Saccharomyces cerevisiae S288C: one gene and its partners. Changing the gene in region 4 together with the main gene of any one other region gives a genetic interaction. Each region holds a gene or a part of one and is shown on either strand. Other genes may lie near its edges.

Region 1 (8,419 bases), on a different chromosome or scaffold from region 4:
CAGGCTACTTCTTTTAGGAAACGTCACATTCATGTGTAATTAGGGGTATTGGATCTTGTTGATCTAAACCGTGTACCATTTGCGGCAGCTTTTTCCACCTGGACGTTGTTTTTGTTTTTTAAGTCGTACTGTCGGTTCATTAAGGTTATGTAATTCTTTAAGAATTTGTTTCTTGCTTTAAGCGACTGAAAATCATTCTGTAAACGTTCCAGCTCCTTCTTCAAGCTTTCTGTGGAAAATTTAGTCAGTGGACCATTAACTTCGTTTTCTAAAGACTTCATTGATTCTTGCAAAATTTTCAATGTTTGCGCGGACTCTGCGGCTTTTGAAGATTCTATTTGATATTTGGAACGTAGTTCATCATTGAGCTTTGATTTTTCCGCATTTGCTTGTTGGAGTTCCTTTAACTTATTAAAAAGAGTCGCATTTTTGTCTATGTATTCCTTCAACTTGTCTGCTAAGGCAGATCCCTCTTCCAGATGATTTTCTGATGAAATAGTATTCGAGGGCAATTTGTTGAAATTCTCTAGTTCCTGCCTATTTTTCAGTAAGTGATTTATTTTATTTTGTAGCTTGGTAGATTCTGTCATCGCATGCTTCAACCTTTTTTCAGAGTCATTAATGGATTTTTCCACTTCTTGTTTTTTCTTGAATGTAAGACCAACAGAATTCTTTATTTCGTCCAACTGGTTCTGCCGTTGAGTTTCGTTTAATCGTTTCTCGTACAGTGGAACAGTGCCTTTGGCATACTCGTCCTGTATATCTCGCAATCTTATGACGGCTCTATGCATTAACTCTGTTTGGTAGGTTTTGATATCCAATGGTCCGTCCCAAAGGGGCAATTCTGTAGACGAATATTGCAATTTTGTTAATTGAGGCTGCCAAAACCCAGAATCGCTCGAATCTTTGGAGGCCTCATCTAACGTTATCAAATCCAAAACCGGTAAAATGTTATTGCAATCTTTCCCCTCTAAACAACACTTTACCAATTTAATATAATCAATCTCACAGTTGTTCACCGGAGCATTCCTTGCTTGCAAAAAATATAGTAAGGAGGATTTGATCTCTTCATATTCTTGGCTATCATCGACATGACCGTTATTGCTCAAATGCGACGATTTAACACTTGAATTCTTGATTTCAGAATCTAACAAGTAATGATCTGGAGAATTTTGTACTAATAGCTTTATTATCGGAATATCCTTATTGGCATTATTCCTCAGTACCTGCAAAGCGGGCAATTCAACTTCCAACATTGGATCAAAACTAATTATCATATCTATATCATAGTTAGCCAATAGGTATTGATCGTGTTTGAGATGTTTGGTAGTGGCTAAAAACAGCCAGTCATCCGTATTTATTTTTCTTTTTTTCAGGTTTCTTTTCACTGAGTAATCATAGTCGTCCTTAGAATAACCTGTATAAGAGGTCGAATTGGAATTAGAGCTTGTGCTGCTTACAGAATTTGGTGTTCCATCTTTATTTATTGTGGAATCGACCGTAGGTAGATTAGGGAATTTGTGTTTCTCATTATAAAGAGATGTACCGGAAAGTCTCTTGGTTCTGAATTTCTTGCCTAATATTAAACCTTCTAGCAAATCTAATTCCTTTATGCTGTGTGCGATGATGGCACATTTTATAACTTCGTTTGGTGAGCCCTCTCTGTCTCTAAAGCATATCGAATTAATGAGCTGGTTGAGAACTTGAAACTTGTGGCTCCCAGCAATAGAGCTTTCCGTGGGCTCCATTCTCAAAAGCTGTCGAGGCATATAATGGTCCACTAGAAGGGAAGGATGATTGGCTATTGCTCTTATGTTTGAATCAAAGATATAGGTTAATTGCCTTTGTGATAGCGTTGGATACGGATGTGTTTCAGGGCCAGCAGGTAAGCCGGAAGGCTTGTTCACTGCATCTGCCTGTGGTTCTCCTATTATGCTTGCTTTGAATGACTTGGCGTGCAGGGATATCAAAATTTCTGATAAATCCTTTTGAAATTGGGTTAGCGTTACAGGTAAGTAATAGACTTTTAGTTTCTTAGAATTTTTCCTACTCATGTCGATAGTATTGTATCTATTTTCTTTATTTTTCACACACTAATGAAGCCAAATACTTTTACTACTACTTAAACGCCTTCAATCGTTCTCAATTCTGTCTTTTTAAAAAAAAAAATTTTTTGTTACCTCTCCTTTCTCGATGTTCTACTAGTTGTGGTTACTCTTCTGTGCCGCAATTATGTTATTTTAGTAGGACTGTATTTTTTTTTTTTCTTTTGTTGTCGCTTTTCTTATATATCTATATAACTATTTATTTGGGCTGTAGAGAACTTTCTCAGGAAATATAAACTAGGAGACATTCGTGTAAGCAATGAACCATATACGCCACGGTTAAATTTCAGACGTGCATAAAGTTGATGATTCCTGTCAAGTTAACGACTCATTTTGTACGGTAGACGGGAAAAATACATTTCCTACAATATTCTCTTTTCCGATATTCAGATACTAAAGGAAAAAGTGAAAGTAAGGCTATATGATGAAATGTAGAGGAAACGGAAAGAGGAGATCCTGTGAGGAATAAATAGAGAAACAGCGACGGAAAAATCGATATTTCAGGGCAAAAGCATGAAGGTAAACCATTCAATTTCAAGATTCCGCCCCGCTTCATGGTTCGAAAAGACAAAGATAATCCCACCCCAGGTATACATCTTTAGGAACCTAGAGTATGGACAAGTACTATATTCTCAATTTCCCAACTTTTCGCAAACACAGGTGGATAAGCTGTTTGTGAGACCAAACTGGAGCAACAGAAAGCCATCATTGAGAAGGGACATCTGGAAATGTATGTGTGTAGTGAACTTGCAAAACTATAAGCAGAGTGTCCATCTATACCAGAACCTCTGCCGGTTGAGATACCTCCGTGATGTGGCACAGCGTAAGGAGAGTGACAAGCTAAGAAAAAAGGACTCTAACGGGCACGTCTGGTATAGCGGACAGTATAGACCTACATATTGTCAAGAGGCAGTGGCAGACTTGCGGGAGTCCTTGTTGAAGGTGTTTGAGAATGCCACACCAGCAGAAAAGCAGACAGTACCCGCCAAAAAACCGTCCATATACTGGGAGGACCCATGGAGGATGGGTGACAAGGACAAACATTGGAATTACGATGTGTTCAATGCTCTGGGGCTGGAACACAAGCTTATTCAGCGTGTGGGGAACATTGCGAGGGAAGAAAGCGTTATTCTGAAGGAACTAGCTAAGCTCGAATCACATCCTACAGAGCAGACGGAAGTGTCTTCCCAGTAGAACGCTTCGTCATTAGATATACAAATGCAGGTAGAAAAAAAAACATATATAAGCTCATGTAAATAGTGCAATGCAAACCTTTCTGCCAAATCCCGTTCCACGGAAAAACACGTGCTGTGCGGGTATCCGCAAAAAGAAGATAGGTCAAAACAGGAATACACAGGGCTAGTCTTTATTACTGCCGCTGCTGCTGCTGCCGCTGCTACTGCTGCTGTTGTGTGACTTGAAACGCGTTTTATCCTCCTCACCTTATCGTCATTTCTCTATCTTTTTCACTTGCACAGCTTAATAAGCTTTTCGACCTCCTGTTTCCTATTGTCTTATTCCCTCACCCCGCGTCCTTCTTCGGGCAGTCGCGCTTTTCTCCGGCTTCTGCGGTTTTTCTTAGTCTTTCCGCACCAATTTTCACAGAAAAATTTCTTTTTGGGTTACTAAAAATTTCTTGTTTGCTATTGTCTTGATTTATTTCACTCTTTCTTCATCCTGCTGCGCTGTTGTTGCCGCATTTTTCGTTTCGTGTTTTGGGATTATAAAAGAAGTAACGATTTACATATCTTCTATTCCCTTGCATTTACTCCGGGTCTTCGTCTTTACTGTTTGGTCTGGGTATTTCTAACATTCTAGTCCGAAGAGGGTGTATACGAAAAGAAAATATACGATGAACGTAACATCGAATGCAACTGCAGCCGGTTCCTTTCCACTAGCATTTGGTCTCAAGACCTCATTTGGGTTTATGCACTATGCCAAGGCCCCTGCCATTAATTTACGCCCCAAGGAATCCTTGCTGCCGGAAATGAGTGATGGTGTGCTGGCCTTGGTTGCGCCGGTTGTTGCCTACTGGGCGTTGTCTGGTATATTCCATGTAATAGACACTTTCCATCTGGCTGAGAAGTACAGAATTCATCCGAGCGAAGAGGTTGCCAAGAGGAACAAGGCGTCGAGAATGCATGTTTTCCTTGAAGTGATTCTACAACATATCATACAGACCATTGTTGGCCTTATCTTTATGCACTTCGAGCCGATCTACATGACTGGGTTTGAAGAAAATGCCATGTGGAAGCTTCGTGCAGACCTTCCTCGGATTATTCCAGATGCCGCTATTTATTACGGCTATATGTACGGAATGTCCGCTTTGAAGATCTTTGCAGGCTTTTTATTCGTTGATACATGGCAATACTTTTTGCATAGATTGATGCATATGAATAAGACCTTATACAAATGGTTCCACTCTGTTCATCATGAACTATACGTGCCATATGCTTACGGTGCTCTTTTCAACAATCCTGTTGAGGGCTTCTTGTTAGATACTTTGGGAACCGGTATTGCCATGACGTTAACTCATTTGACTCACAGAGAGCAAATCATTCTTTTTACCTTTGCCACCATGAAGACTGTCGATGACCACTGTGGGTATGCTTTGCCACTTGACCCATTCCAATGGCTTTTCCCTAATAACGCTGTCTATCACGATATCCACCACCAGCAATTTGGTATCAAGACGAACTTTGCTCAACCATTTTTCACTTTCTGGGACAATTTGTTCCAAACTAACTTTAAAGGGTTTGAAGAATATCAAAAGAAGCAAAGACGTGTCACCATCGACAAGTACAAAGAGTTTTTGCAAGAGAGAGAATTGGAAAAGAAGGAGAAACTCAAAAACTTCAAAGCTATGAATGCTGCTGAAAATGAAGTAAAGAAAGAGAAATAACCCTTTTGCATACCTCCCGTTCAATTGCTGGGTAAAGGCAATGTCTCCGACTTCCCACGTTTGTATTTATTATCCATTTATATACATCAAGACATATTATTAAGTGTATAGGCGTGACTTTGACTATATATTTGATTTGTAACGAAAGAATACATCAAAATTCAACTATGAAATGGTTATTATTGTGCATGCACATCTTGAATTATCAAAAAGGTCTTAAATGTTCTTCGGACTTTCTTGAAATCTTCGAAAACTGATGAGAATTCTTCATTATTTTTTTTTTTCTTCTTTTATTATTTTTTATGTTTATTCCATATATACACTTATAATTTTTTTTTTTGCGATTAATATAAGTTTGCCTGGATACACGAACATATATATGATTAAAATGGTTGTCTCGAACAAAAAAATTCACTTTTTAGAGGGGTTTCTTATTTATTCGTATATGTACGTAATTTTGATGTTTAGGAAAAATTCACGGAAAAGAATATATATTTGAACAGAATCAAAAATTAGGAGGGAGGCAAAGAAAGTAACATCAAACGAGTTGAGCATATCCAACTATATTATTAACGTTAAATGCTGTCCTCTAAGACCTTATTCAGTTTTTGAATCTTTGTAGAAATGCTTAAGTCAACAGTCTTGTCACCAAGTTCTACAATCAAACCACCCTTAATCTCTGGCTTAACCACGTTTTCCAGCTTCAAAGATTTACCTTGCCCCACCAATTTGGAGGCGCTCAAAGCTTTTTCAATCCTCTTGAAAGATTTAGGATCCAATGGTTCAGCACTAGTCACTGTACCTTTAAGTAACCCGTTGTGAGCATCGTTTAAAACGCCAAAGTCAGACGCAATTTTTTCAAAACATCCCAGTCTGTTATTTTCGGAAAGAACCTTCAATAGGTTAACGACATAACCATCCAAATTCTTGTGAGTCTCCACGATGGCATCAATGACAGAATTTCTGTCCTTCAATGACAATGCAGGATTCAGTAATAAGTGACCTAATTTTGGATTCTTTTTGACTGTGCTTTCAACTTTTTGCAAAGATTGAAAGGCAGCATCAATAGAGGAGTTCTTTGCAGCGGCCTGATATAAAGCTGTTGCGTAAGTGCCCTCAACACCGAACAATCTCACCGGTGGGGGAGCAGCAGCTTTGGAAGCAGCAGCTCTTAAGCTTGATGCAAATGACCTGGTAAAGACTCTATTAAACATGATTGTCCACGGTTTAAAAATAATGCGGTAACTTGCTAATCGGTTCTTACTCTGCGGAAAAATATCTCAATGCCACAGTAGCCTGCTTAAATTTCCAAGTTGACTGAATTTTGTTTTCAATGAGATAAAAACTAGAAATACTGTACACAAAGTTAACAATTGGCGTTTGAAATTGTTCCTAGATAATTGAAAGTTTTACTATCTCGCCAAAAGATCACTTCATTATCTTTAATTCCTTGTTTTTCCCACCCGGGCCCGGGTAAATGATATTTCAAATATCAGCATCTTATTGGCCAGCACCGTCTCTCGAAAGTGTCCACTTTATGACGACGGCATAAAATATAACGATTTATTGGACGTAAGTAGTTTTATAAGTTACTAAACCAAGATTATTCCGGCAAAAAAATGAACTTTAAGAGATATCTGAGCGCTTCGTATTTCTTGGTAGTCCCTTATAATGTACTACATTTATGTAGACCAGGTTTGCAGCCAGATCTTACGGGAAAGAGATTTTACGGCTCCCAGTCCGAGCTTTTCCATATACTACTCTAATATACAATGCATTCTTAGATTTCTTAACTGCTGCATATGCTGTCTTTGGTCCTTTGCAAGCCTATTACTGCGGATTTAAGTTTTTTCCACTGATCGTTACCCGAATTTATGGGTTCTGAAAAATTAGAAGATGGAAAATTTTTCAATACGCGATGAGATGAGATAATTGTATATATGTAGTCGCATCTTGATAGGTATGCAGCGTACCATACATTGAGTAACAATAAGCACTGTTACCAATAAATATAGAGCAAAAAAAGATGGAAAAATCACTAGCGGATCAAATTTCCGATATCGCCATTAAACCGGTCAATAAAGACTTCGATATTGAAGATGAGGAAAATGCATCTTTATTTCAACACAATGAAAAAAATGGAGAAAGTGATTTAAGCGACTATGGAAATAGCAACACAGAAGAAACCAAGAAGGCGCACTATTTGGAGGTGGAAAAGTCTAAGTTAAGAGCAGAAAAAGGTTTAGAACTAAACGATCCAAAATATACAGGTGTTAAAGGTTCAAGACAAGCATTATATGAAGAAGTTTCCGAGAATGAGGACGAAGAAGAAGAAGAAGAAGAGGAAGAAGAAAAAGAGGAAGATGCTCTTTCATTCAGGACAGATTCTGAAGATGAAGAAGTAGAGATTGATGAAGAAGAATCAGACGCGGACGGCGGTGAAACGGAGGAGGCTCAACAGAAAAGGCATGCACTATCGAAACTAATTCAACAAGAGACTAAACAAGCTATTAACAAACTGTCTCAATCAGTTCAAAGAGATGCTTCGAAGGGTTATTCCATTTTACAACAGACAAAATTATTTGACAACATCATTGATTTGAGAATAAAACTACAAAAAGCTGTAATTGCAGCAAATAAGCTCCCATTAACTACAGAGTCCTGGGAAGAGGCTAAAATGGATGATTCAGAGGAAACAAAGCGTTTGCTGAAGGAAAACGAAAAACTGTTCAATAATTTATTCAATCGGTTGATAAATTTCAGAATAAAATTCCAACTTGGCGATCATATCACTCAAAATGAAGAGGTGGCGAAGCATAAATTGTCCAAAAAAAGATCTCTCAAAGAGCTTTACCAAGAAACTAATAGCTTAGACTCAGAACTAAAAGAGTACAGGACTGCCGTATTAAACAAGTGGTCTACCAAAGTTTCTTCTGCATCAGGTAACGCTGCTTTATCATCTAACAAATTCAAAGCTATCAACTTACCTGCAGATGTACAAGTCGAAAACCAATTATCCGATATGTCCCGTTTGATGAAAAGAACAAAGTTGAACAGGAGAAACATAACGCCTTTGTATTTCCAAAAAGACTGTGCTAATGGCAGGCTACCAGAATTGATTTCTCCCGTTGTCAAAGATAGTGTTGATGACAATGAGAATTCGGATGATGGGCTTGATATCCCGAAAAACTATGACCCAAGAAGAAAGGATAACAATGCCATTGACATTACCGAAAACCCATATGTTTTTGATGACGAAGATTTTTACCGTGTTTTACTAAACGATTTAATTGACAAAAAGATTTCCAACGCTCACAATTCTGAAAGTGCAGCAATTACAATCACCTCAACTAATGCTCGTTCGAACAACAAGCTAAAGAAGAATATCGATACTAAGGCTTCCAAGGGTAGG
Region 2 (8,492 bases), on a different chromosome or scaffold from region 4:
ACGTTTGCGTCCGTGTCGATCTCAAATTTGCCGAATGATGGGGATTGTTCAATGGTCTTGGCGTTAAAGATCGGTTTTTCAGATGGTTCAAAAGATAGGGAAGACACTGGGTCATTGTAGAAAATGGAAATCTTTGGGTAAGTGCCGGCCTTCATGACACTCAATAACTTATCGGCAATCAAAGCAGATTCTTGGAAAGTTGGGGCATCTTTACCAATTCCATTAATAGACAATTTAATGTTGTTAGGATGGGTTCTCAATAGCTGCATTTTAATTTTATCACCAATAGTGACTATATCGGCGTTTGGTTGATCATTCAAATGTCTTCTCACAGCTTTAGCCAATTGAGAGTGGATAGAACCACACAACCCCTTATCAGAGGTGATAGCAACAATCAACTCTTTAGGAGCACCTGTTTCAGTAGCCTCAACATCCAAATTTTTGGTTTCGGCGTTCTTGTAAAACAACTGCTCTGCTTCATCCATCTTCTTTGCGGAAATTTTAGCCTTTTCAGCTTTACTCAATCTTGTAGATGCAACAATCTTCATAGTTTTTGTGATCTTCTCAATATTTTTGATAGATTTCAAACGCATTTCCACTTCTTTCAAAGTAGCATAAGTTCTCACTGGGTTAGTCTTATAAAGAATACCCACTTGCGCTTGGTGGCACATTACGGAGCGTGTTGCATTGTTTGATACAATTCTTGACAACATGACTACTAAATAAAATAATGTTTACTGCTCGTCTTCAATTGTTTCCACCTGAAATTAACCAAAACGGTTCAGTCTCAATAGTTTCTTATTTGTCTTTTTTAACTGAGTGATAATCATTTAAGCATCTCCCTTCCGGGCCTTCTTTAATCGTTATTGCGGTCCGGGTTCCTCGCGTAGTTACTCGCCGCTCATTGGTTCTCCATCACGTGATAAACATTTCTTCCAAATAAATGAGAACGTTCATTAAATATCGAATAATTCACTTATTATATCTCCATCATATACTTACTAGTTCTAGCGACAGCTCCTATTCATATATCTTCTTACTTTTTTTTTGTTTTATCGACAATTGCTCTACGTTTCGACGTCTAGAAAATGTACTAAAACAGTGCGCTCTCTACCCATAAGGATGAAGAATACGTAATAACAAGAGTTTATTCTCCTTAGTATGTATTTGATAGCACACTCAGAAAGATGAGTTACTACTTGGAAAATCTCAAAAGCTCTTGATGCCCAGCTCATACATAAAAAAACGCCGGAGAACTTTAGCGTCACCAGTTACTGCGACACGGCTTTTAGAGAGGAAAGTAAAGGTCTATGAGTAAAAAGATAGATTATGTTATGCTACATTATATTTGGTATTGAAACATGTATATTATATATAAAAAGTCTAAGAGAGAAATGTCAAAATATCCTAGAAGGTAATGGTTGTCATAACCTGTACATTCTAAAACAGAATGAGAAAAAAGAGGGAATGACGAGAAATTAGCTGAAAAATACTGGCATTAGCCCTTTTTGTGGAAAACATTTGGTAAGTCTAATTTAGAGACTTCCCATGAGCCGCTACCTTCAACTTTATTTCTGTAACTCACTATTATACGCAAGTATTTCATGAACAAAAAGGCCATGGAACCAACCACCCTAAAGGCAGCTAAAGCGGCCACAGACCATAAAATGAATATCAAATAACCATTGTCAGTATCTTGTGGTGTAAAGACTTGAATTATAGACATGATCAGTATTAGATTTGATAGCATCCAAATCATCACAATTCTGGTTCTTATATCTCTATAATAATCATTCTTGGATTGTTTTTCATTGCCGCTTGATTCTTCAAATTCTGGTTCTTTCAAACGACTTTTTATTTCCAAAAACTTCTTATCAACTTCCTGAGGCCAATCTGTTTCCACAATCTGTTTCCCATCTGGACCTTGAACGACAATGGCCTTGGACAATTGCTTGGACTCCTGTGTGGAACCTTTAGTACCCCAGGAAACGTCGTGTGTATTACAGAAGGCAAAAATCTGTAAAGTACACGTAAAGGCGGGAAGTGTCAAAAAGTATTGTATGGATGATGTAAACATGTGCCAAGGATCTAGGTACATCAGTGATGAGAAAAAGTATAGGCCATAGGTGGAGAGCAATGAGATAACGATGTCGACAAATATTTTGTGGGATTCCGTTCCAGAAGCTAACGACTTGAAAGCAAAAACAAACCCACAAATTAGAGAATATGTGGCACATATAGACAGTATAACCATGGAGGTAATGAATAAATGTTTCGCGCCCTGGGGTCTATTACCCATGGAAATAATGAATAAACTTGCCAAGTCACAAAAGATCAGGTATTTAAAAAAAATGAATAAGGCCTCACCATGTTTAATAACTAAATTCATTGATCCTGCTAAATAATAAAAGGTAAGAACGAAATTTGCAATAGAAAACCAGGAAAAAAGCATCTGAATAAATTGATAAAGGAATTCAACATGAAGAAAGAACTTGCGTACAACAGAATGTTTAGTTTTCCAAATTTGGTAGAAATGCAATTGAGCATAAATTGCGGCAAACATTGCACCATTTAACCAACGTCTTCTTTGAGAAATAAATTCAGAAACGTCTTCGGGAACATCCGTTTCACCAGTGGCTTCCTTAACATATTTTAGAACCCATTTTGCATCTCGCTTGGCGACCAATTCCCAACAAAGAATTCTATCTTCAGCCAAGTACATATTTGCAGTGAAAACATCATGGTCTCTGCCTTCTTGAGTTTCACCAAGGAAATACGATCTGAGAGGGCCAGTGCCATCTTCATGATTTTTTAAGGCTCTATACCTATATGCGGACAGGGCACCAGGAAGAACAGAGATATAACCAAAAACACTTTCTAATGGTTTATCTAAAATATTCGAGATCTTATATTCAAAATTTTGCGATGCAACTAATGGATTGAAAAGTTTCAGTCCCCACTTCCCCTTCATAGTCTTAATCTGACCAGCCGCACCAGCCACATTTGAATCCATATCAAAAACCTTCCATAACCTGTAAATTGCTGTATTGTTTAAACGTGTACCGACATCAACCAAAGTAACTACAGTAGGTTGCAAAACGGGACAAAACGCGTTGAATAGCCAACGATGGGAATTGATCTTTTTCTTATTTTCTTCTTTTAGACAAAAAACCAATTGCACAGGAACAATGTCCTTTGAAACATAATCCAGATCGGCGTTGATAGAGACCTGAGTTGTCAATTCAAAAATGTGCGCTTTTACCGGATCACCATTCACAGACGCCTTGGCCATATCTTCTTGATAAACACCCAAAGCAGCTAAATAGTCGAGAGACCCTTGGTTGACTTTTGCTCTACCGTCACTAATCAGAATTACAGAGACTTTCTTCCAGCCATTGGGGCCCCAAACATGAGATTTTTCACGCTTACAAAGATGAGCAACATTCTTCATAATGGAGTGGATGGTTCTTGCCAATGAATATTTATCTTCATTGTACATGGTAATACAAATGGCAATTTGACATTCTCTGTTCATCTCTGCGAATCTCAAAGTGTAACCTTCTCTCAAAAAATCGTCAGGTTCCACAGTGCAGGCTGTATATCTCATTTCCGTAAACTCAGGGGAGTTCCTACGAGGCAAAGTATCCAACAGACCTTTTGGTATCGGGTTGTCTAGTTTCAATAGTGCCTTCTTCTTGCTTGGGGGAGGCAAGTCTGAGACCATTCTTCTCTTACTCTCAGAATTGGCACGTCTTACATACTGCTGTCTTGTTGGATGGTTCAGTTCAAATTTTGTTTCATTGAAAGTGTCTGCAGAGAAAATTGTAGACTGATCATCATAGGAAGTAGTCGAAGTGAGGTATTTTTCCTTTTCATCGTCTGCTTCTGCCAGAGAGGGAGCCGTTGTGGAAGTAGTAGACATCGTGTATTTCGAGCTTTGAGAATACAATCTGCCACTTCCAAACAGATTGTTACTGGGCTGTTGCTGGGGTGATAGATGGTAGGGGTCTACCGGTAGATCTGCATTATCGCGGGGGTAAAGGTTACTCCCCTCACTTAGATGTATGACAGCCTCGCCTGCTCTTTTGGGAGACTCTTGTAGATTAGCAGCATACCTGTTCGGAGCAACTGGAGAGTTATGGGCACTATCGCGGTAAAATTGAGTTCTATGGCGACGGTCTGGGGAGTATCTTAGTGCAGCTCTCGAAGGAGATGCCGGAAGGCCTTGGAAAACGTTAGATTGGTCATAGCTATCCTCCAAACTCTCCTCACTGGGATTAGCCCACCGAGAGTTGCTGTTAGCGTTTGCGTAAAATTTGGAGAGGTTTGAAGCACCACGTCTATTAGGAGAGCCATTCGAAGGTTCCACCATAAACGGGTTTCTCGTCATTTCTATATGTGGTTCTTTGGTTTTTATTTGGGTCTATATGTAACTTCCTCTGTTTTCTCTTCTGAGTCACGAAATCAACAGTAATATTATGGAAGATAGTTAAATAGACTGGGGCCATCCCAAGGGAGAGTCCTCGAATTCCCAATTGAAACTAAATTGAAGTTCTGTAAATTTCAATATCGATGCTATCATACTCAAATAGGAAATATATAAACAAATAGTATAGGGGTTTATACTAGGGTTTTAAACCCCAAAAAACTAACCCTACTATCTTCTTTTCAGACCCTAAATTGAAGGAAATAAACGGGAATAATAATCAATAGCGATCTCCCGAAGAGAAAAGTGAGAAAATAGTATAATTGTGTCTATTGTGTTTATAATCGGCATTAGAAACGTATGTTCGTATAAGGCAAGGGAAACAGAAAAAACAGCAAACGTAGAAAAGATGCTGAAGTTGTCAAGAAGTGCCAATCTAAGATTGGTCCAATTGCCAGCCGCAAGATTAAGTGGCAATGGCGCTAAATTGCTCACTCAAAGGGGATTCTTTACTGTAACGCGCTTATGGCAGTCAAATGGCAAGAAACCATTAAGCAGAGTACCTGTGGGCGGTACTCCCATTAAGGATAACGGCAAAGTGCGAGAAGGCTCGATCGAGTTTTCCACGGGAAAGGCCATTGCTCTATTCCTAGCAGTCGGTGGGGCACTTTCTTATTTCTTCAACAGGGAGAAACGCAGATTGGAAACACAGAAGGAGGCTGAAGCAAACAGAGGATACGGTAAACCTTCACTTGGGGGACCCTTCCATCTGGAGGATATGTATGGCAATGAGTTTACGGAGAAAAACCTTCTCGGTAAGTTTTCTATAATATACTTTGGGTTTAGTAACTGTCCTGACATCTGTCCTGATGAACTGGATAAGCTAGGTCTATGGCTTAATACACTCTCTTCAAAGTATGGTATTACTCTGCAGCCATTATTTATAACTTGTGATCCAGCAAGAGACTCCCCTGCTGTATTGAAAGAGTATTTGAGCGACTTTCATCCCTCCATCCTGGGTTTGACGGGGACGTTCGATGAGGTGAAGAACGCATGCAAGAAGTACAGAGTATACTTTTCTACGCCTCCAAACGTCAAACCGGGCCAAGATTATTTGGTAGACCATTCCATCTTCTTTTATCTCATGGACCCTGAAGGACAGTTTGTTGATGCTTTGGGTAGAAATTATGATGAAAAAACGGGCGTGGACAAGATCGTGGAACACGTTAAGAGTTATGTGCCTGCAGAGCAGCGCGCCAAGCAGAAGGAGGCATGGTACTCCTTCTTATTCAAATAAGATTGTAAATATATGCTACTTTCTTCCTTGTATATACATATATACTTATAACGCTATAACCCGTTCTTGTAATATCGGCTATCACCCGGCGAAGGTGTATCGCAAGAAAAAAAAAAGCTCTCTCACTCTAAAGGAGGCTATGTGAACGTGGGAAGATCAAGTGAAAGAAATGTTTGTAGGCCATTTTCTTCCAGAACAGATCCGCTCTTGAGCTGGTGAGTTAGCACGATAACAAACAAAGATACAGCGTCATGTCTACCACACTACTTTGGTTTTCAAGTGTAATAGGCTACGTGATTCAAACAAAATGTTTGTCTAACATACAATCTAAAAAGGAAATCTCCGTGGGGCCCAATGGTACAATTGCAACGCCTGAAACTAACGGCGACAACGGAAACTCAAGTTCATTAACCTTCTATCTGACCTTTATGTATTTTGCTTCGTGGCTGCTCTTGGTGCCTGCATCTCGACTTTGGGAGAAGATGAGACCGATGTTTGTCTCTGACTCAGACTCGAACAGGAATTCTCAGTTTGACAACAACAACAGCGGGTCTGTGACAAACGAAGATGTCGATACGTTCTCGCACGTGTTGGATGATCCTCAACCACGGATTCCAGCCCAACAGCAGAAGCAAAAAATCATATCCGTGGCTACCTTCAAATATGTGGCTAAGCTAACAGTGCTGGCTCTCATAATGATTGTCGCTGATTTGACTTATAACATGGCTTTGTCATTGTCACCGGCATTTGATGTTGCTTTGATGCAAAATACTGCCATTTTCGAAATTGTCACTTTACTATATGGTGTTTGTGGAATCTCCAGGAAGAACTACGTTTTCCGTAATTTCCTCATCATGATGAACGCGGTCATTGGAATTTTGATCATCTCATACACGAAGGCTACCTGTGACATGCTTGCCGGAAAGCTGTCCGTCAACCCTAACACGGGTGAACTTTCTGACCCATTCTTGTTTGATAGGTTGAAAGGTGCTCTGATTTGCGGCCTTGGTGCTTTGATTATGGGTCCTTTTGCCGTGTTATGGAACCGTTGGTTTTGCAGTAACATTTCCAAGAACGAAAATTCTGCTGTAGTCTTGGTTAAGCAGAGCACCCACATGGCCCTAATCGGTATTATTGGCATGGTAATACTTTTGCCATTTATTCCTAAATTTCCCTCCCGTGAGTCTGTGGAATCCATTTCGTTGTTCTATAATGACAAGAGCTTTTGGTTCTCTCTACTAGGCTCGATTATCTTTGGTTCCTTGCCGAGCTTGATTTCGATATTAGAGTTGAATCGCAAGGCCCCTGCTGAGTATTTGACGACGTGCAACCTGGGAGCTATTATCTTTATGGGGTTAGCTGAGTGGGTTTGCGAACCTACGCAAACCACAATTGTGAGATGGGAAGTCATAGGATACATAATGCTAACGGTAAGTTTGTTGGTCCTATCAGTAACACTCGGGGAAGGTAAATACCACCATTAGTACGGACAACATACTTTATATGACTGATGATGATGTAACAAGCATATGCAATTATTTGGTTTCCCTAAATAAAAAATCCCAATCAATATCTTGATTATTTTCAAGACAATTACTAGGATGTTCTTCTATTTTTTTATTTTTATTTGTATATTGTATATTCTAAAAAGAAGAAGCCATTTGGTGGGCTTTATTATAAATATTAAGAGGCATACCTCCGCCTATCCGCCTATCCTCGTCATGAACAATCAATTAAAAGCGCTTATAAAGCGATATACAAGTACAGTACGCGCGATTTCTACAATACAAAAAATATACATCAAGAAAAAAAATGTTTCCAAAAATTATCTAAATGCATCGAAGGCATTAGGAGAAGTAGCTGTGAATACAACACCAAGATTCATAAAATGAACACACGGTTCCTTCCGCTTGGAAAATAATGCGACAAAAATACCGTATTGATCATCAAAGTAGTTTTAATAGATACCTAAAAAAACCATCTTGAAAAATCTCAAATTACGTTCTTGATCTTGTGTCATTGTTCAGTTACTGATCGCCCGCAAACCTAACCGATGCTTAAGAAAGGACACCCTTGCCTTTTGGCTTATTTACCTACTCGTATTTTTCTCTGTCACATCGTTCGATGTACGGGGCACATTTGGAAATTTCATCAGTAAGTTCAGTGAATAGATTTTTTATTTTACCTTTTTGTAGTGGGATTTATTCTTTTAAAGGCAAAAATCTACTGAAAAAACGGAAAAAACTAGAATAAACCATTTCTATATATACTCATGTTCCCTGACGTTCTTTTTCCTTTTTCTTTTTCCAGAGTTAACGATAAGATAGACATAAAGTGACAGCGCTTAGCACCGTCTGTTTGCAAATCTAACTTAAACTCCTTTTTTTCTGTCACCTTAAACAGTGTCAGAAAAAATACTAGGTATAAGAAAACGAGAAAAAAATAAACAGCGAACTCGTGCAAACTTTGCTAATAAACAATTAGCTGTAACATTTGTGTGTGGGTGTGGTGATGGTAGGCTTCCCATGGTAATTAAAAGGTTAGGTCGAGAAGAGGATCGGTACGAAGAAGGAATAACAGGAATAAGTTCAAAAACACTGCTTTAGCAACTAAATGCAATAGCAGTGTTTAAGAATTTACGGTTTGCATTTTCTAAACTCAGATTTTAGCCATCTATAAGTAGAAACACAATAAAAAACCACAAATTGCGCACACACAAGCATCTACACTGACACCAGCATACTCGAAATTCTTTGGAAAAGAAAAGAG
Region 3 (8,203 bases), on a different chromosome or scaffold from region 4:
AGTGAAAAATTATGGAAAGTAGTAGAAATCCTCTCAAGTGAAGCATGACAAAAAGAAAAGTAAGAAACCTTAAAAGACACTAATAGTTGATGAATTACTATGCGAGAACTCACGTAACTCCAACAATAAAAAGCTATTTACGTATACTGATTAAAAAAGAATACAAGAAAAATTTATTCTTTCCTATACAAACAATGATAATCAAATGGTCCATGTCAGTTCTATAGTTCATATACCATAGGCCTTACGGTAGTTTTCAATCGCTGATTTTTGCTCTGGTGATAGTCTATTTCCCATAAATTGTACCACTTGAGTCAGTGATACAATACTTAGCACAGGAACGTTGTATCTCTTTGAAACAGATTGGGTAGCACTTGTTCTTTCCGGATCAGATTCATGAATCACTTCTTGCCTATCTAAAGCAACAATACAACCCACTACCCTACCTTGAGCAATACTGATTATCTCAAATGCTTCATTGATTGCAGTTCCTGCAGTCATGACATCGTCGATAATCAACACCCTCTTGTCTTCAAGCGATGCTCCAACAATAATACCACCTTCGCCGTGGTCTTTAACTTTCTTTCTATTAAAAGCATATTGAATACCTTGAAATTTAGTGCCCCCGATTTCTGCTAGTTTAACGCATACAATAGCAGCCAAAGGGATCCCTTTGTAAGCAGGTCCGAAAATAACATCGAATTTAAGCTCCGATTGAATGATAGCAGTTGCATACGCGGTGGCAAGGTTTGCCAACAGCTTTCCAGAATTGAACAAACTAAGATTGAAAAAATATGGCGACTGCCTGCCTGAATTCAGCTTGAATGACCCAAATCTTAGTGCTTTGCATTCTAATCCCAGTTCAAGGAAAGTTTTTTGATATTCCTCTAAACTTGTAGTAGATGCAGACATTATTGGATTATGTTTTATTATTCTTGATGGCTCTAGGTCTCGACTATTTTGCGTGACACTTCCTTAGTTCTTAATCTATATAAAAGAGCCTGTGATGGCCTTTTACCCTAGATTAGGAAGCGAAGGGGCCTTTCCCGAAAGGTTATGTATGACTCCCTTGAAATGCATATGATAATTAAAACCAAAAAATGTTATGTGATTCTGAAAGGAAATGCTGTCATGTGAGTCAGGTGTAGAGCAGGTTAGAACAGTTTATATTACATAGTCTGAAAGGCACGTGAGAAAGTGCCATACCATTAGCCGAATACGTGAAATGTCTAAAAAAATACAAGTGAAAGAATAAAGTGCTAAAAAAACTATCAGGCTCTCAGAAGGCAATTTAGCCATATGTATACATATATATGTGTGTGTATAAACCTCATATAAGGGGCCCCAATGGTTTATCTAAAGGATATCCTATTAGGACTTGTCTGTCACACGCAAAACTTCAAATGACATAATGATGAGCACTTGTCAAATAATTGAGTAACTTCTTCGATATCTCTGGTATGTAAAAATAAGTATATCGAGATGAGCGATTGTATCTGTATAGAGGTTGGTTTCTTTTTCTTACCTTTCTCTTTTTATTTTTTTCTCGCATTGGTTCAAAAAAAAAAAATGATGGTTTAAATTTCGTAAAATACGAAAAATGAAGGGAAGGTCCCACCCGGATTCGAACTGGGGTTGTTCGGATCAGAACCGAAAGTGATAACCACTACACTATAGGACCTTTTTCTTCTGTTGTTAGTGTACACTAAAACTTCCGGTTTTATGGAACCTTTTTAAGAAAGATGGTCCCTATTTTAACAATATCGCAAGCAATGGATCTTGTACTGGTACGGAAAACCGTATATACTAACAAATCTTAGGTTTCTACGTCTGACTAAAGAAAGAATTGTGAGTGAGGTTTATAGTAGAAGCTCTCCTCATGACTTTGGGCTATGTAAATTGTTGATAATTAGAGGTAAAAAATAGTATTAATGAAGAAATAATTACTGATCTTCTTATACTAAATAAGAGAGGTATATAAAACACACGCCGATTGGTCATATTAATCATGACCAATATAATAGTGATTCCGGTAGTTACTATACATTTATGTGACGACTCATATTCCTCATATATGTACCTACCATAACATGTTCAACTAATAGGTCTTTAACACAGCTTCAGTATTGTCTGAGCTTCTCGTTTAACATTCCTTCTGCAATAGGTGCAATCACACTTAAACGTATACGAGGTGTACATTAATATACGATGTAAGCATTAGATTGTTACCATAGCAACTCATGTCACTATTAATTACTCTCGTTCCAACATAAATGCAATTGATGATTTGCGCAACGCAGATACAGATTTTACTTTATTCTTCGTGCCTAAAATGGACCATCGTTTCACTTACTAGCCGTTGTTTACTAAGATATAGTTGTATACGGTGTGGAGGATGATAAGATCATTGGACCAATATAACTATATAAATGTCGGCACCAGTTTAATGGAACCTCGAATGCAATTACTGATAACGGAATGGATTAAGAAATGATTAGGTATGAGGTACTCTTATAGTATGTAGAATTTCTGATTTGCTTATGTGTTCATTTATTCTCGAGAAGAACCCTTAGTATATTCTGTGTCCTAATATTACAAAAAGTCAATGAGAGTCTAGGGACTATCAGATAACTTCACTGTGCTCATCTTGATTCCTGTTCTAACGACAGTAACACAGGATACGGTTAGTATTTTTTTGCCAACCTGATCTGTGAAAGAAAAATGTACCTGTCAATTCGGTTCTTTTTTGAGGCCGCTTTTTCGTATAGTCGTCATCGATTGGATATTCGTTTAAGAAATAACGTGCTTGTTCATCGATTTCATCTATGATTCCATTCCATGTGTATGTATATATACGTAGTTACATATAATAATATAAATAAAGATTTGAAATAAATATGTCGCAGAAAAGAACTTTGCTCAAGATTTCATTGCTCGTAATGTTGTTTTTCCTAGGTTGACAATTTTGGACGAGGCTGACCAATAATTATTCATATTTCATTTTGGACAATGGGGCATCGGGGCCTAAGTAGGTGCCAAAAACTTCGTCCCAAAACCAGGATGTGACGCCAAATCCCAGTTGGTAGTTTTTATAATGATGTTCCAGGTGATATTTTTTCAACTTACGCATGAAGGGAGGCAATTTAGAGTGGTGCAAGAAGAAATGACATTCGTCATAACAGACATAACCGAAAAGACCGCCAGCAAAACCAGCGTAAGCCCAATAAAGTGGCAGCAGAGCAAATACCAACTTGTAAAATGGAGCACAAAGGATGACGAACAGAGTAGGTGGCATAACTAAACGGTACTTGTCCATGGGCAAGTAATGATGGCAACCATGTAGTAGAAAATGTGTGGCGAATGCGATGTTACTTTCAGGTAACCAATCATCGAAATGAAATAGGAAACGGTGAAGACCGTATTCAATCAAAGTCCAAACAAAGACACCGACACAGAACAAGAAACATGCAAATAGCTGGTTCATGTTCTTCAAAGCAACACCCATGTGGTACACAACTACAGGCAACCAAGCAACTGGAACAACCCACCAAGCTGTTTTAGTTAATGGTTCCAAGAAATTACCAAATAGCGGGGCAGACCCCTTACCGTAATGTCTTGGTCTATGGATTTGGTCAACGTAAAAATCTTTCTTGAAATCACTACGCAGAATCTGCATCAGCAAAGGACGGTTCAGATCCAAAAATTTATGCTTTTTGTAGTCGTTACTGTAGTCCGTAGCAATACTTAGTTTCTCCTCGGCGGGCAACTCCTTTACAAAAGTAGTGGAGTCAAACTCAGTACCGTCAGCTGACAACTGCACTTCAACCTTATGGTTCTTGTTAGTCAACAATCTCGCTGCCTCTTCGTCAGTTGCCAAGTAACCAATCAAATATTCGTCCTCAAGGATTTCATACGCGGAGTCGCTGTGTTCATGCACATCTGAGTCTTTCATGATCTCAGTAATGTCCTTACCAGCATAGTCCAAGATGGACTCGTCACCACCAGGGTGTTCGCTCAAAAACCTGGTCACGTCATAAATCTTTCTGTTTTGATAAGTGACCCAGCAGTCATTGGCAGTATTGTGTTCTTGTACCGTCTTTTTTGAAAACAGTTCCAAAGTCTTGGAAGTATTAGTCGACATCTTCGTACTAGTTTTAGCTTACCACCGCTTTTAGTGCCTGCCACGATAACAATAGAAAAAAAAACTAATCAAAGACAATAGACACAATAGCTTCTACTATCTAATACCTCTGTTCTTATACGGTTCCAAATTGAAAAAAAAATTAACTGCGAAAAGATGTCACACGTCAGTAAATCCGCGCAAAACCCCGTTATATTTCCGACGTCGTGCGGTAGTTTCTGCGCGGAACGGCCCCGCGGAATAGGCACATTTTCTTCCGGCCGCAGAAAGCTCTCTTTATCAAAAGCAAGACTGTTTTCGGCTATTGTATTATGAGAAGTTTGGTGTTTGTCCAACTTTCCCTGTTGTCCTGGGAAATATTCTGTGGGGAACGTAGCTTTGTGAGCATGAAAGCTATCTTTTCGTGTATGTACGTGTGATGTGTATATGTCTATGTATGCAGCGCTGAAGCCTTTTCAGGGTTGTTGTTGTTGTTGTTGTTGTTGTTCTTTGTCGTGGGCTACCTGCTCCATGTACAGAGTGTGATTAACCAAGTTCAGATAAGCATACATGAAGTTACTTAGTAATACCTGCTCGCGCAGTCCCCTCTTCGAATTGCTCAATTTCAAGTGACTCAGCCGGTATATGGCCCTTTCGACGTTAATTGGTAGACGGTGGTCGAACATGATAACCGTAGACACTGTCAGCAAAGGCAGTGGGAACCCAAAGGCACTGTCTGTGAATTGAACCGGGGAGTTTGGTTTGTCAGGTTTTTTGACGTCTGCAAATGTAAGCTTTCTTGGGGGCAATATGGAGGTATGTTTCAATGGTGGTGCCGCTGGAGCCTGAGTTTGAGCTGAAGCTTCAACTGGGGCTGAAGTTTGGACTGGGGCTGAATTTTGGACTGGGGCTGAAGCTTGAACTGGGACTGAAGTTTGGACTTGTTCTTGAGCTGGAGCTTGTAGTTGAGCTTTTTGCTCATCGGTATTCTCCTTTTGGACGTGTTTGGAGTGTTGTTGGTTGGAAATTTCTGTCGTATTGCTCCTCTTCTTGTTCTTTTTCTTTGCCTCCTCTTCTTCTCTGTCTCTAGAGTTACTTTTGGTACTACTTACACTAACGGCCGGCTGTAGTTGGGGCAAGCTCTCGGAATCGCTTTCCTCTTTCTTTTCTATCTCTATTGCGCCTTCCAATTGTGGTTGTAATGGTATCTGCTGCTGCGGCTGAGAATCTTTAAGGGTTTTTACGCTTATTTTTTGGGAACCATGACGGCTGTGATGGTGACGGTGAGGACGAGGGCGATTGCGCAACACAATGGGTTCAACCGGCTCCCTTCCACTTTTGTTACCAAGCTTTTTGCTTTTCCTCACGCGAACGTGCACGGCATCGTTATTTGGTATTGATGGTGACGATGATGGTGACGACGAGGGTGATGATGATGCATCATGCTTGTGGTGTGGCTTTCTTCTGAATAGGTTCGCAAAAGTTTTCTCGATTTTCTGTCTTGTCTGTGATGTGGCGGTGGAAGTACTTGAATTGTTCATTTCTTCTTTATTTGACACCTCCGTCTTCTCACCGCCATTAAATAGAGAAATATAATGTTTTTTGGAATTGTCGAGCTCCATTCTTTGTGAATCCACGTTTTCTTCATTTTCATCGTCCCCTTGGTTTTCTTCGTTATCGTCTTCTCTGCTCATTTTATTGTTCAACCATGTCCATCCGTTTCTTCGACGATGTCGCTTCGTTTCTTTGTTGTCATCCGTTGCGCTTGGCTTTACCATGTCTGTTGTTCCCTCTCTTAACTCTAAGTCTTGTTCTACTGTGTCATTTCGAACCTTGACGGGTACCTCTTCGGCTTCTTTCTCTATTCCCATTTCTTGTTCCCACTCGCCACTAGACTGTCTGTAATGATTATAAATGTCTTGAAAATCACCAATTGACCCAGGCGAACTCATATTCTCAGAATCCTCATCTTGCTGTCTAAAAGGGGATTTGTGCGGATCTATTTCGACCTTTATTGTATTCTTGGTCAATTTTAGACGTTCTTCGTCGTCGTTTTTCATTTCATCCACACTTTGTTCTACTTCTTTTTCTTGCTCTTGTGACCTGATTCGATAAGTGTTGAATCTACTCCTTCTCAGTGACGATCGTTCAGGCCATGTCATGGTATTATTGATGGGCATATTGGAGGCAAATTCACCATCATCCAAAGTATTCGCTTGTGAAGTTGAAAAACCAATATCTCCTTCATCATAATGCCCTTCCGGTTGTGGTTGATCTTTTTTATCTGAATATGAACCAGCCATACTAAGAGTTCTGGCTAATGTAATGGCATCATTGTCGGTTAGTCCTGCACTATTTGAGATCTTTGTCAGTTCTTCAGTTATATCTCTTAACGACACTGGTCTCTCTTTTATTTTGGAGATTCTTTCTTCGACTTTATTTACTGTTTCAGAGGCACTGTCTCCCTTATTATCGTCATCTTCGTTATCATCAAACTCTGTATATGACCTCCGCAATGTTGAAGGCCTTCGTATTAGTGACGCGTTTCCATGCCTTGACAGCCCCCTGTTCAAGTTGATAGTGTTGTTCTCCTTATTTTCATATGATTGTGATTCTTTATCCTCCCCATTATCCTCAATATCGTTATTTTCATTGCTATTCCCATCATTATCTTCACCATTGTCGCTTAGTTGTATATTTTGTAAAGTATCTTGTACAAGCTCTAGGAAATTATCAGGCTTAACGTTAGGGTGTTGATTGGCGGGAACCCATAATAAGTTTTTCTTTAATACGTTAGCATTTAATTTCCTGGATGGAGAGTGAACACCTTTTTTTATACCTAAGTAGTTACCTTGTTTAGTCTTATTGGAGGATTCTATCCCTGAGTTACCCCTCCCATGCAAGTTCTCTAGCGGAGTTGGATCGCTATATCGTGTGTTATTAACGGTGGTTGTGTCACTTGGCATTGACGCAGAACTGGATGTCGTGCCAGACCATGATCGTCTCCCACTAGATTCCCCACCGAATTTTATATCTAATTCTGGATCAATAAGTAAATCCATTGACCCAATCGACAATCTTTTTAGGTTTTTTACGCTGCGGATTTCATTGTCAAGGGACTGTGCAGCAATCAAAACTTCAGACTTCCGTTTATCCCTTTGACTAGCGATCGCCTTATCGCTTGATGTAGTACGCAGCATGCTCTCGTTATCTCTATTGGACATTATAAAAGACAGCTAAATTCTCCTTTGAATTGAAAATATGTAACCCACAAAACAAACCAAAACTAACTAAGACCTTAAATTCTAGGAGACCAAATAAAAACCTTAAAAAAAGAAAAACGTCGAAACCTATTAGATGCCACCTTCTCTCTACTCTTAGATCTGACAACTTCAATACCACTGACACGAACGACTTGTTATTGAGTCCGTAATACAAAGTATAGGTACTTTATAGTCCTCCAAATTCTTTCACCAAAACACCAAAACTCGATTTTTTCACTCTTCCGTAACAAAAGCCCGGTCGCTCGATAGAATTCCATAATAGTAGTGAAAAAAGGTTATAGTACATAGGAAATTTTAAACGGTATACAAGTACGTAAAAAAGGCTAAAGGGTTATTCTATAACCAGGAGTTCCTACCAGAGTTTGTAAGGTATCCTTCAGGGATATTAATCCAAGGACCAGCAGTGCGAAGTAGCACTTATTCCAGATTGAGACCAATTTGGAAATGCGTCCAGCTTTCTTGTCTACTACTGTGAAATGTAAATTCAATCTTGAAGGACCAGGAAACCCCATGATATTGCAAAGGGCATGCAGGATTATGCAGCACCATAGGTTCCCGCCTGTTCTTACGAATACAAACTTGGTTAACCCTCCAAAAAGTGTTGTGTATAAAATTTGGAAGCATGTTGTCAGCAGAATGGAAACAGTTGTCATGGAGCCTTCCTGTAATTGCTCATAAGCATGGTGTGCGTGCGCAAGTCCAAAAAAAAGCGATGGTTGCCAAAATAACTGTTGATAGCTTAGTTGCGAATGCGGTATTAGGTTTAAGTACGTAGTCAAAAGCATTGACGTGTAAAATA
Region 4 (7,415 bases):
CAGATTCCACCAACTTACTCAATGTATCCTCGTACCGGCACAAATCTTCGTAGAGTTGGACCTTAGATAATTTGTCTTCACTATTCGTGTTTGAAGTAGCCTCTGCTACCAGGGATACAGAGGATGATCTGATGTGACCCATAGAAAACTCTACCGCTTTAGTATCTTGGACAGACATAACATTCGTTGTGTGTACTCTGGAAGTAATTGATACTAGATGCTTTCTCCACCGTTAACAATATACCAGAAAACCTTGTTGAAAACGGGACACGTTATAACTACTTTCCTTCGCGGTATGGTGAGCAGAGAATGCAAAAGTTTATCTTTTTCTCCAGCCTACCTTACGTAGGTGGTAATGCACTATTTTTTCGCATTTCTTTGAAAAGGCTGGCAATACGTCAAAGGCTATGTATGCTATAAGGGAAAGAAAGCTTATACGGAAAATAGCAACTGAATGTACTATGTTACTGTGCATTCGCATTCTATGTTAAAATTCAAAATCCATTGAGATGTATACACAAACATTTAAATAAGACATTTATATAAGCCGGCGCTTCCTGAAGTTCAGCACATGAAAAAATAGTGCTGCTCTTCTACCTTCAACCCAAATTGGTATTGAACCCAGAGCCTTTTTCAGGACTGGTTGCGATACCATCATGCTTCAGTTGCTTTTCAACTTCTTCCTTAAAGCCCTTTTTCCATAAATCATGATTTTCACCAATGACATAAGTAAGCGTCTTCTTCATATAACCTTCAGGACCTAAGAAACCCAACGCTTCTATAACATCTTCCAACAGTATTGTCATTCCGGAGCCTCTCTCCTCGCCTACTCCTGGATGCCTTATATTCACTATATGGACATGAAAATGGTAATATGAAGGTTGATAATGAATGAAAACTCTTAGCTCGTCCGGGTTTACATTATAGTCATAGTGCTGGGGGATGATGGTCTTAATCTTCTTATTGAGTCTAATTAACCAATCTCTATGGTTTGGGTTCAAATCTCTCAAAGATTTGATGTCGTCCCTGTACACGATCGCGACCAGGTATAACGAATCAATGTTGATTCCGTCCCACTTCATATCGGGCAAGATGACGAATCCATCCTCTTTATTCCTGCTACTGTATTCCTTATAAACAACTCTATCATCCTCGGCGCCCTCGTAAAGAATGTTGTTTACCCATTTCATTCTTTCGCTGGTACACATCTCTTGGATAAAGGGCACAACTATGTTTCTATACATATCAGGAGTTTCTCTGACGACATGTAAATCCTGCTGGTCGTATCCCTTGATGTGGAACTGCGAGGCGGGCCAAATTAAGTTAACCTTCGCAGTTGGGTTATGCAAAATATGCTGCTTCAAAACAGACAACCCCCAGTAGTAGATGTCATTCGAAGTTAATTCCTTCAGATCAGTAATACCGTTTAAAAAGGAGTACTCGTCTATTTCACGATGAAAGAAAATCGGAGTGCTACGGCCACTTTGAGAGGGTCTACGTACCGTTTCATCAAATATGAAATGCGTCTTTTCAGCAGTTAACACGGCATCCTTCCCATCTATGCTGCCTAGTAGTGAGATTACCTTTGTATGAGGGTTCGAATCTAACACCCTGACGTATTTAAACCTCCCAATTAAACTAGCTAAATCTTGGGAACCCATCATGTATTTTTTTACTTTTACACGCTCAAATCTTTTCAATTTTGCAATGAAAAGGTACCGACCTAACATATATTTGAAGACCAAACGAAACCCCCGTGCTTCTGTTTCTCTTCTTTCTGCCTTTATACTCATTGGTATTGTCACCCCTTATTTCCCCCCTAGGCGTCTGCGCGGCCGCTGTCATGGGGCTGTCCTTTCGGACTAGCATATAATCACTGACGCTAGCTCTAATCGATCAATAATTAAGTGGAAGTATTTTGTTGAGGTGGGTGATTATTATGGGGAAGATTTTTGACAATCGAATGAACACTTTAACAGCTTTTGGAGGCTAGAGTGCCAGTAAGCTCCATACTTCTTTGGAGTTGATTTCTTTTTCTTGCAGAATAGGTTGGACAAAGTACATCCATCAGAACAATTGCAGGTGCCTTTTGTTCACGCAATTACTGGCTTTTCCTTGTTTGTTTGGTCAAGAAGTTAGTGTTTAGCTTTTTCCCTTCATTTTTTTATTTTTCTTATTTTATAGATGCTTAAATGTCATTTTTGTCTTACTAATCATTAAATAGTTGGTCCGAAAGATAGGTCCAAGCGCAAGTCCAAGCCAATGGCTTGCTCTCGACTGTCTTCCATTACAATATGCAAGTTTTCTATCTAGCTGCTGTCGCAAGCATGTTTTTTTGTAAAAGAACTTCTCCTCTACTGCGTATCAAATAAATATTTATAATCTGGCTGACTCATTAGTTCCTCCCAGCCAAGGTTGTACGCCGTCCAAAATTCGTTGGATATTGTCTGTGCCAGTTCAGTCTCAATTGGCCCAGTTTCATTGTTATGCGAAGCGTTTTCGCTGTTATTTCGCACTTCCTCCGGGGGTAATCCTGGAGAATTTCCCGCCAATGGACTGGCGCTTGTGACGCCCAGGTCACTTAAACTGGGATCGATTGGAGTATTTACATTGTCAGTGAGCGAATAGGACCCATTCAATTCGTCTTGGAGTTGTTGTAACCATGTGTTTTCGACCTCGGTTCTATATTTGATTACTTTTTCCAAAACAGCTCTATATATGCTTTCCAGGGCGATGTTGATAACAAATGTATAAGAGCGAGCCATAATAATTCTTAACTGCTTGTTGTTATCATTAGACCATTTAGCAAATATATCTGAATGTATTTTGAAAGCAGTAAGTAAGTTCATAGCTTTATCCAACGGGATATTCAAGGTTGACAAATCCCAATCTGTGACTTCTTGATCTTTGATGTTGGATGATAGATAATAGCCCTTCTCAAAAAGAGTTAACTTATGATACAAAAACGCACAAAAGCCAGTAGAGGCCCTAGGAAAAAGGAAATTTGTGTATACTAAAGACAAGGCCATAAATGGCGGTAAATGAACGCAATTATGATCAAAAAACTCAGGAAAATGCTTCTCATCTAGGTTAAAACACAGTATGGTCGTATTGATGACAAGGGAAAAAGAGACCAAAATGGTTTGCAGGATGTTGTTCTCTAAAACAACGCTTTTTTCCTTGTAAATCAAATACCTCAAGGAATAAAACGTCAACAACAAATTCAAAACCTGCGCAAGCACTTTAATCTCGCACAAAGGAACTTTAGATATTAACTCACTGTCAGTGTAATATGATATTGGGTGGAATTCAGTCTCTACAAAGTTTCTTAGTTTTTTACAATTTTCGGCTAAGTCTGGAAATGCGCTTCTATCATAAATTTGATCTAGCATTGGTCGAGCTAATCTTAAAAACCTTTTAAGCTTGCCCATGCAGGAATTTGACTGATCGAAAAAAACCGTCGATGAATAATTGTTTGTATTTTTAGGCAACCTCTCACCATTCTCGCATTCATCGACTTGAAAATAGGATGAGTTAATCGCCAAACATCTCCCAATATTTAAAGAAACATTGAAATCTGATAATATAATCCAAACCCACAAATTTTCCAAACTTTCCATACTCCCCACAATATTTTCTTGATTTTTGTATATTTCTCTTATATTCAAGTGTAAACCCAGCATAATTGCCGTGCTGCATAATAAGTCAACTAGACTAATCATATGCGAATCGTCTCCACACGCCCAAATTAGTTCTCGATGATAGTATTTCAATAAGAGAAATTGAGCGCGTTCAATGAAATATACTTTAGCTGTTGACAGTCCCGTCAGCATGATGAGAAATTTCTCTATCTCTTCCGGAGTATTTTTGTAGAAATGGCGAATACACAGTATCATCAAAATAACTCCAATCTTATAATAGTTTTTCTTTGTCGATGGTAATAACTTTTCAATCCGCCTTTCACCGTTGGGTAACAGTTCGTCACTTGGAAGAAACGAGGAAGTGAAATCGTTTATTATTTTGGTTTTATCTAATACTTCACTAACTTCATTAGTTTCCAGTTCAGTATTGAAAAAGTCTGTTATAATCTTTGACGATTGTTCAAAAGATGGCAAAACGTTACAAACCTGTTGCAAGATGTCAGAGCCTGTCTTTTCTAACGGCGGTCCCTCTAGGAGTTGAGTTTCTGGCTTCATTGTCCATTTATGCCTAGCCTTCCATCTGTTTCTCTCGATTTTCACTTTGGACCAGAGCTGATTATACGTGTTTACAAACCGATTATCATCGTTTGAGAGATGCGTTCTCAAAGATGTAGGACCATATACTATTCTTCTTCCCGAGCCTTTACATTGTAAATAGTAAAAATTAGCGTAAGGGTTCCTAAATGGGCTCGTACTAAGCGCTACATCCTTCTCCGTCAACTCTTTGTCATCTAGTCTTTTCTCTAAATCCTCAATCCTTTTCAACAGTTCAATGTTCGGAGTACTGCCAAATAACTCTTTTGTTTCTATTTTGTGGGTGAATTTCTCTGTATACAGGCAACCAGAACGACCCCTCGTCTTACAAGTTGAGCACATTGGCTTCTGCTGGTCGCAACGTAATTTCCTTTTCCTACAAAAAGCGCATGACTTTATTGGTTTCCGTCTCTTCTGCGCCTTCTTTACAGTTTCCTCCGATGGGGAAGCTCTATCCTGTAAACTACCCCGCTTACTCATTAACAACTCCCTTTACCAGGACCATTCAATGTGCTTTCCCCTCTGACTTTCTATACTCTTGCCGTTATTATTACAATACCACCTGGCATTTGTCATTTTATCGCCTTGTAAACCATGGGTGTCACCCTACTGCCGAGCCTGAAAAAAACGTGCTGCAAGGGTCTTGAAGCAAAAAGATGATTTAACGGAAGAAAGGCATACAAGAAGGTGAAAATTCGTGTTTAACCCATCTGATACTTTCCCTTGTCTAACGTACTGATCCTGGAGGTTATCAAGAACACAAAAGTCTAGCAGCGAAAAGTACGCGAAGAATCTACTATAGATAATGGTGGTGCAGAAAAAACTTAGGGCTATCTTGACCGATGAAGGTGTATTGATCAAATCGCAATCACACCATATGTTCAATAAGCATGGTCAACTCAGAAGCGGAGATTCTTTATCCTTGTTGAGCTGCTTGTCCTGTCTGGATGATGGAACTTTGAGCTCTGATGGAGGTTCTTTTGATGAGGATGATTCCCTGGAACTGTTGCCTCTTAATACTACCATTCCGTTCAACAGAATTTTGAACGCAAAATATGTGAATGTCGGTCAGAAAGGCTTCAATAATGGCAAAATTTCTTCGAATCCTTTTCAAACGGAAAATCTGAGTTCTTCGTCTGAAAATGACGACGTTGAGAATCATAGTTTGAGCAATGATAAGGCTCCTGTAAGCGAATCACAGTCATTTCCCAAAAAAGACAAGTGGGATACAAAAACGAACACTGTGAAGGTGTCTCCCGATGATTCACAGGATAACTCACCATCTTTAGGGATAAAAGATAATCAACAGTTAATTGAGTTAACTTTTGCTGTACCCAAGGGCCATGATGTTATACCACAAAAATTAACCTTGTTAATAGATCACGTTTCTAGGAAATCGAGAGCAAATACCGGAGAGGAGAACATTTCTTCTGGTACTGTGGAAGAAATCCTGGAAAAAAGTTATGAAAATTCCAAGAGAAACAGATCGATATTAGTCATTATTAATCCCCACGGTGGTAAAGGTACTGCTAAAAATTTATTCCTGACAAAAGCAAGGCCAATACTAGTGGAAAGTGGCTGCAAAATAGAAATTGCATACACAAAATATGCCCGTCACGCCATCGATATTGCCAAAGATTTAGATATCAGCAAATACGATACCATTGCATGTGCCTCGGGTGATGGTATTCCATACGAAGTAATTAATGGGCTTTATAGAAGACCCGACAGAGTGGATGCGTTCAATAAACTAGCCGTAACTCAGCTACCTTGCGGTTCAGGAAATGCTATGAGCATTTCATGTCATTGGACAAATAACCCATCGTACGCCGCTCTGTGCCTTGTCAAATCCATTGAAACAAGAATAGACTTAATGTGTTGTTCCCAACCTTCTTATATGAACGAATGGCCAAGATTATCCTTTTTGAGTCAGACGTACGGCGTTATTGCAGAATCTGATATTAACACTGAATTCATCAGATGGATGGGTCCCGTTAGGTTTAATTTGGGTGTAGCATTCAACATTATCCAAGGTAAGAAATATCCCTGCGAAGTTTTCGTCAAATATGCTGCCAAATCTAAAAAGGAATTAAAAGTTCATTTCTTAGAAAATAAAGATAAAAACAAAGGATGTTTAACCTTCGAACCAAATCCTAGCCCAAACTCTTCGCCGGATTTACTATCTAAAAACAATATCAACAACAGTACAAAAGATGAACTTTCACCGAATTTTCTCAACGAGGACAACTTTAAATTAAAGTATCCGATGACGGAACCAGTACCTAGAGACTGGGAGAAAATGGATTCAGAGCTAACTGATAACTTAACAATCTTTTACACAGGGAAAATGCCGTATATTGCTAAGGACACCAAATTTTTTCCCGCTGCTTTACCAGCGGATGGTACCATTGATTTAGTCATAACGGATGCAAGAATCCCAGTGACAAGAATGACACCAATTTTATTATCCTTGGATAAAGGTTCTCATGTATTAGAGCCAGAAGTTATTCACTCAAAAATATTGGCTTATAAGATTATACCAAAAGTGGAGTCAGGTTTATTTTCAGTGGATGGTGAAAAGTTTCCTTTGGAACCCTTGCAAGTGGAAATAATGCCCATGTTATGCAAGACGTTGCTAAGGAATGGTAGATATATCGATACAGAGTTTGAATCCATGTAGATTAACGTTATATTTTCCTTCAAAAATGATTTTTTTGTAAAAAGAAATACTACATCGAAAAGAAAAGGCGATATAATGTTTCTATCATCGGAGTATGGTTTATATTCCATTTTTGTTTTCATTATAATTATACATCCCCAGTTATATATCATTAATACGTAACAATATTATGAGTTGGTCTTTATTATCTAATATAATTAAAAAATTTACACTATTACATCATTTTCAACCAATAGGATATATATATAAATATATACATATATGCACATTAAATCATTCACTTGGAAGTTGCGTCCTTCAAGCTAACTATTCTATTCAAAATAACCTTAGAAGTCGTACTCTCTTTATCCAGAGTGAAATAACCTACTCTCATAGCTTGGAATCTACACACTTCTTTGGAATCCTTATCTTCTTCAACATAAAATTCCGAGTTTTTAACAGAATCAACGACCCATGGACTGTTCTTGACAACGTCCCCGAAGTTATGTTCCATGACAGAT

What was found.
Region 1: mutations in LCB4 (region 4) and SUR2 impair growth when combined (synthetic growth defect), as found in Saccharomyces cerevisiae (6 studies listed by BioGRID, with this or other methods).
Region 2: mutations in LCB4 (region 4) and CSG2 together harm fitness less than expected from each alone (positive genetic interaction), as found in Saccharomyces cerevisiae (4 studies listed by BioGRID).
Region 3: mutations in LCB4 (region 4) and SCS7 together harm fitness less than expected from each alone (positive genetic interaction), as found in Saccharomyces cerevisiae (4 studies listed by BioGRID).

What each region holds. Positions count from the first base shown.
Region 1 is NC_001136.10:1,052,594-1,061,012, forward strand, and holds SUR2 (sphingosine hydroxylase), read left to right. Parts: upstream 1-3,957; coding exon 3,958-5,007; downstream 5,008-8,419. Other genes in the region: HDA2 (Hda2p), read right to left, coding at 30-2,054; mitochondrial 54S ribosomal protein mL67 MHR1, read left to right, coding at 2,619-3,299; ATP5 (F1F0 ATP synthase subunit 5), read right to left, coding at 5,583-6,221; rRNA-processing protein BFR2, read left to right, coding at 7,034-8,419. UniProt on the Saccharomyces cerevisiae protein: Required for hydroxylation of C-4 in the sphingoid moiety of ceramide. Catalyzes the conversion of sphinganine to phytosphingosine in sphingolipid biosynthesis. Involved in the response to syringomycin.
Region 2 is NC_001134.8:307,796-316,287, reverse strand, and holds CSG2 (mannosylinositol phosphorylceramide synthase regulatory subunit), read left to right. Parts: upstream 1-5,974; coding exon 5,975-7,207; downstream 7,208-8,492. Other genes in the region: ATP3 (F1F0 ATP synthase subunit gamma), read right to left, coding at 1-713; chitin synthase CHS2, read right to left, coding at 1,499-4,390; Cu-binding protein SCO1, read left to right, coding at 4,836-5,723. UniProt on the Saccharomyces cerevisiae protein: Required for calcium regulation. May regulate calcium accumulation by a non-vacuole organelle. Also regulates the activity of CSH1 and SUR1 during mannosyl phosphorylinositol ceramide synthesis.
Region 3 is NC_001145.3:806,637-814,839, forward strand, and holds SCS7 (fatty acid alpha-hydroxylase), read right to left. Parts: upstream 4,142-8,203; coding exon 2,987-4,141; downstream 1-2,986. Other genes in the region: orotate phosphoribosyltransferase URA10, read right to left, coding at 229-912; YMR272W-B (uncharacterized protein), read left to right, coding at 4,453-4,560; ZDS1 (Zds1p), read right to left, coding at 4,597-7,344; RCE1 (CAAX prenyl protease), read right to left, coding at 7,728-8,203. UniProt on the Saccharomyces cerevisiae protein: Ceramide hydroxylase involved in the hydroxylation of sphingolipid-associated very long chain fatty acids. Postulated to hydroxylate the very long chain fatty acid of dihydroceramides and phytoceramides at C-2.
Region 4 is NC_001147.6:651,510-658,924, reverse strand, and holds LCB4 (sphinganine kinase LCB4), read left to right. Parts: upstream 1-5,040; coding exon 5,041-6,915; downstream 6,916-7,415. Other genes in the region: MED4 (Med4p), read right to left, coding at 1-178; DCS2 (5'-(N(7)-methyl 5'-triphosphoguanosine)-(mRNA) diphosphatase), read right to left, coding at 600-1,661; YRM1 (Yrm1p), read right to left, coding at 2,355-4,715; GLN4 (glutamine--tRNA ligase), read right to left, coding at 7,193-7,415.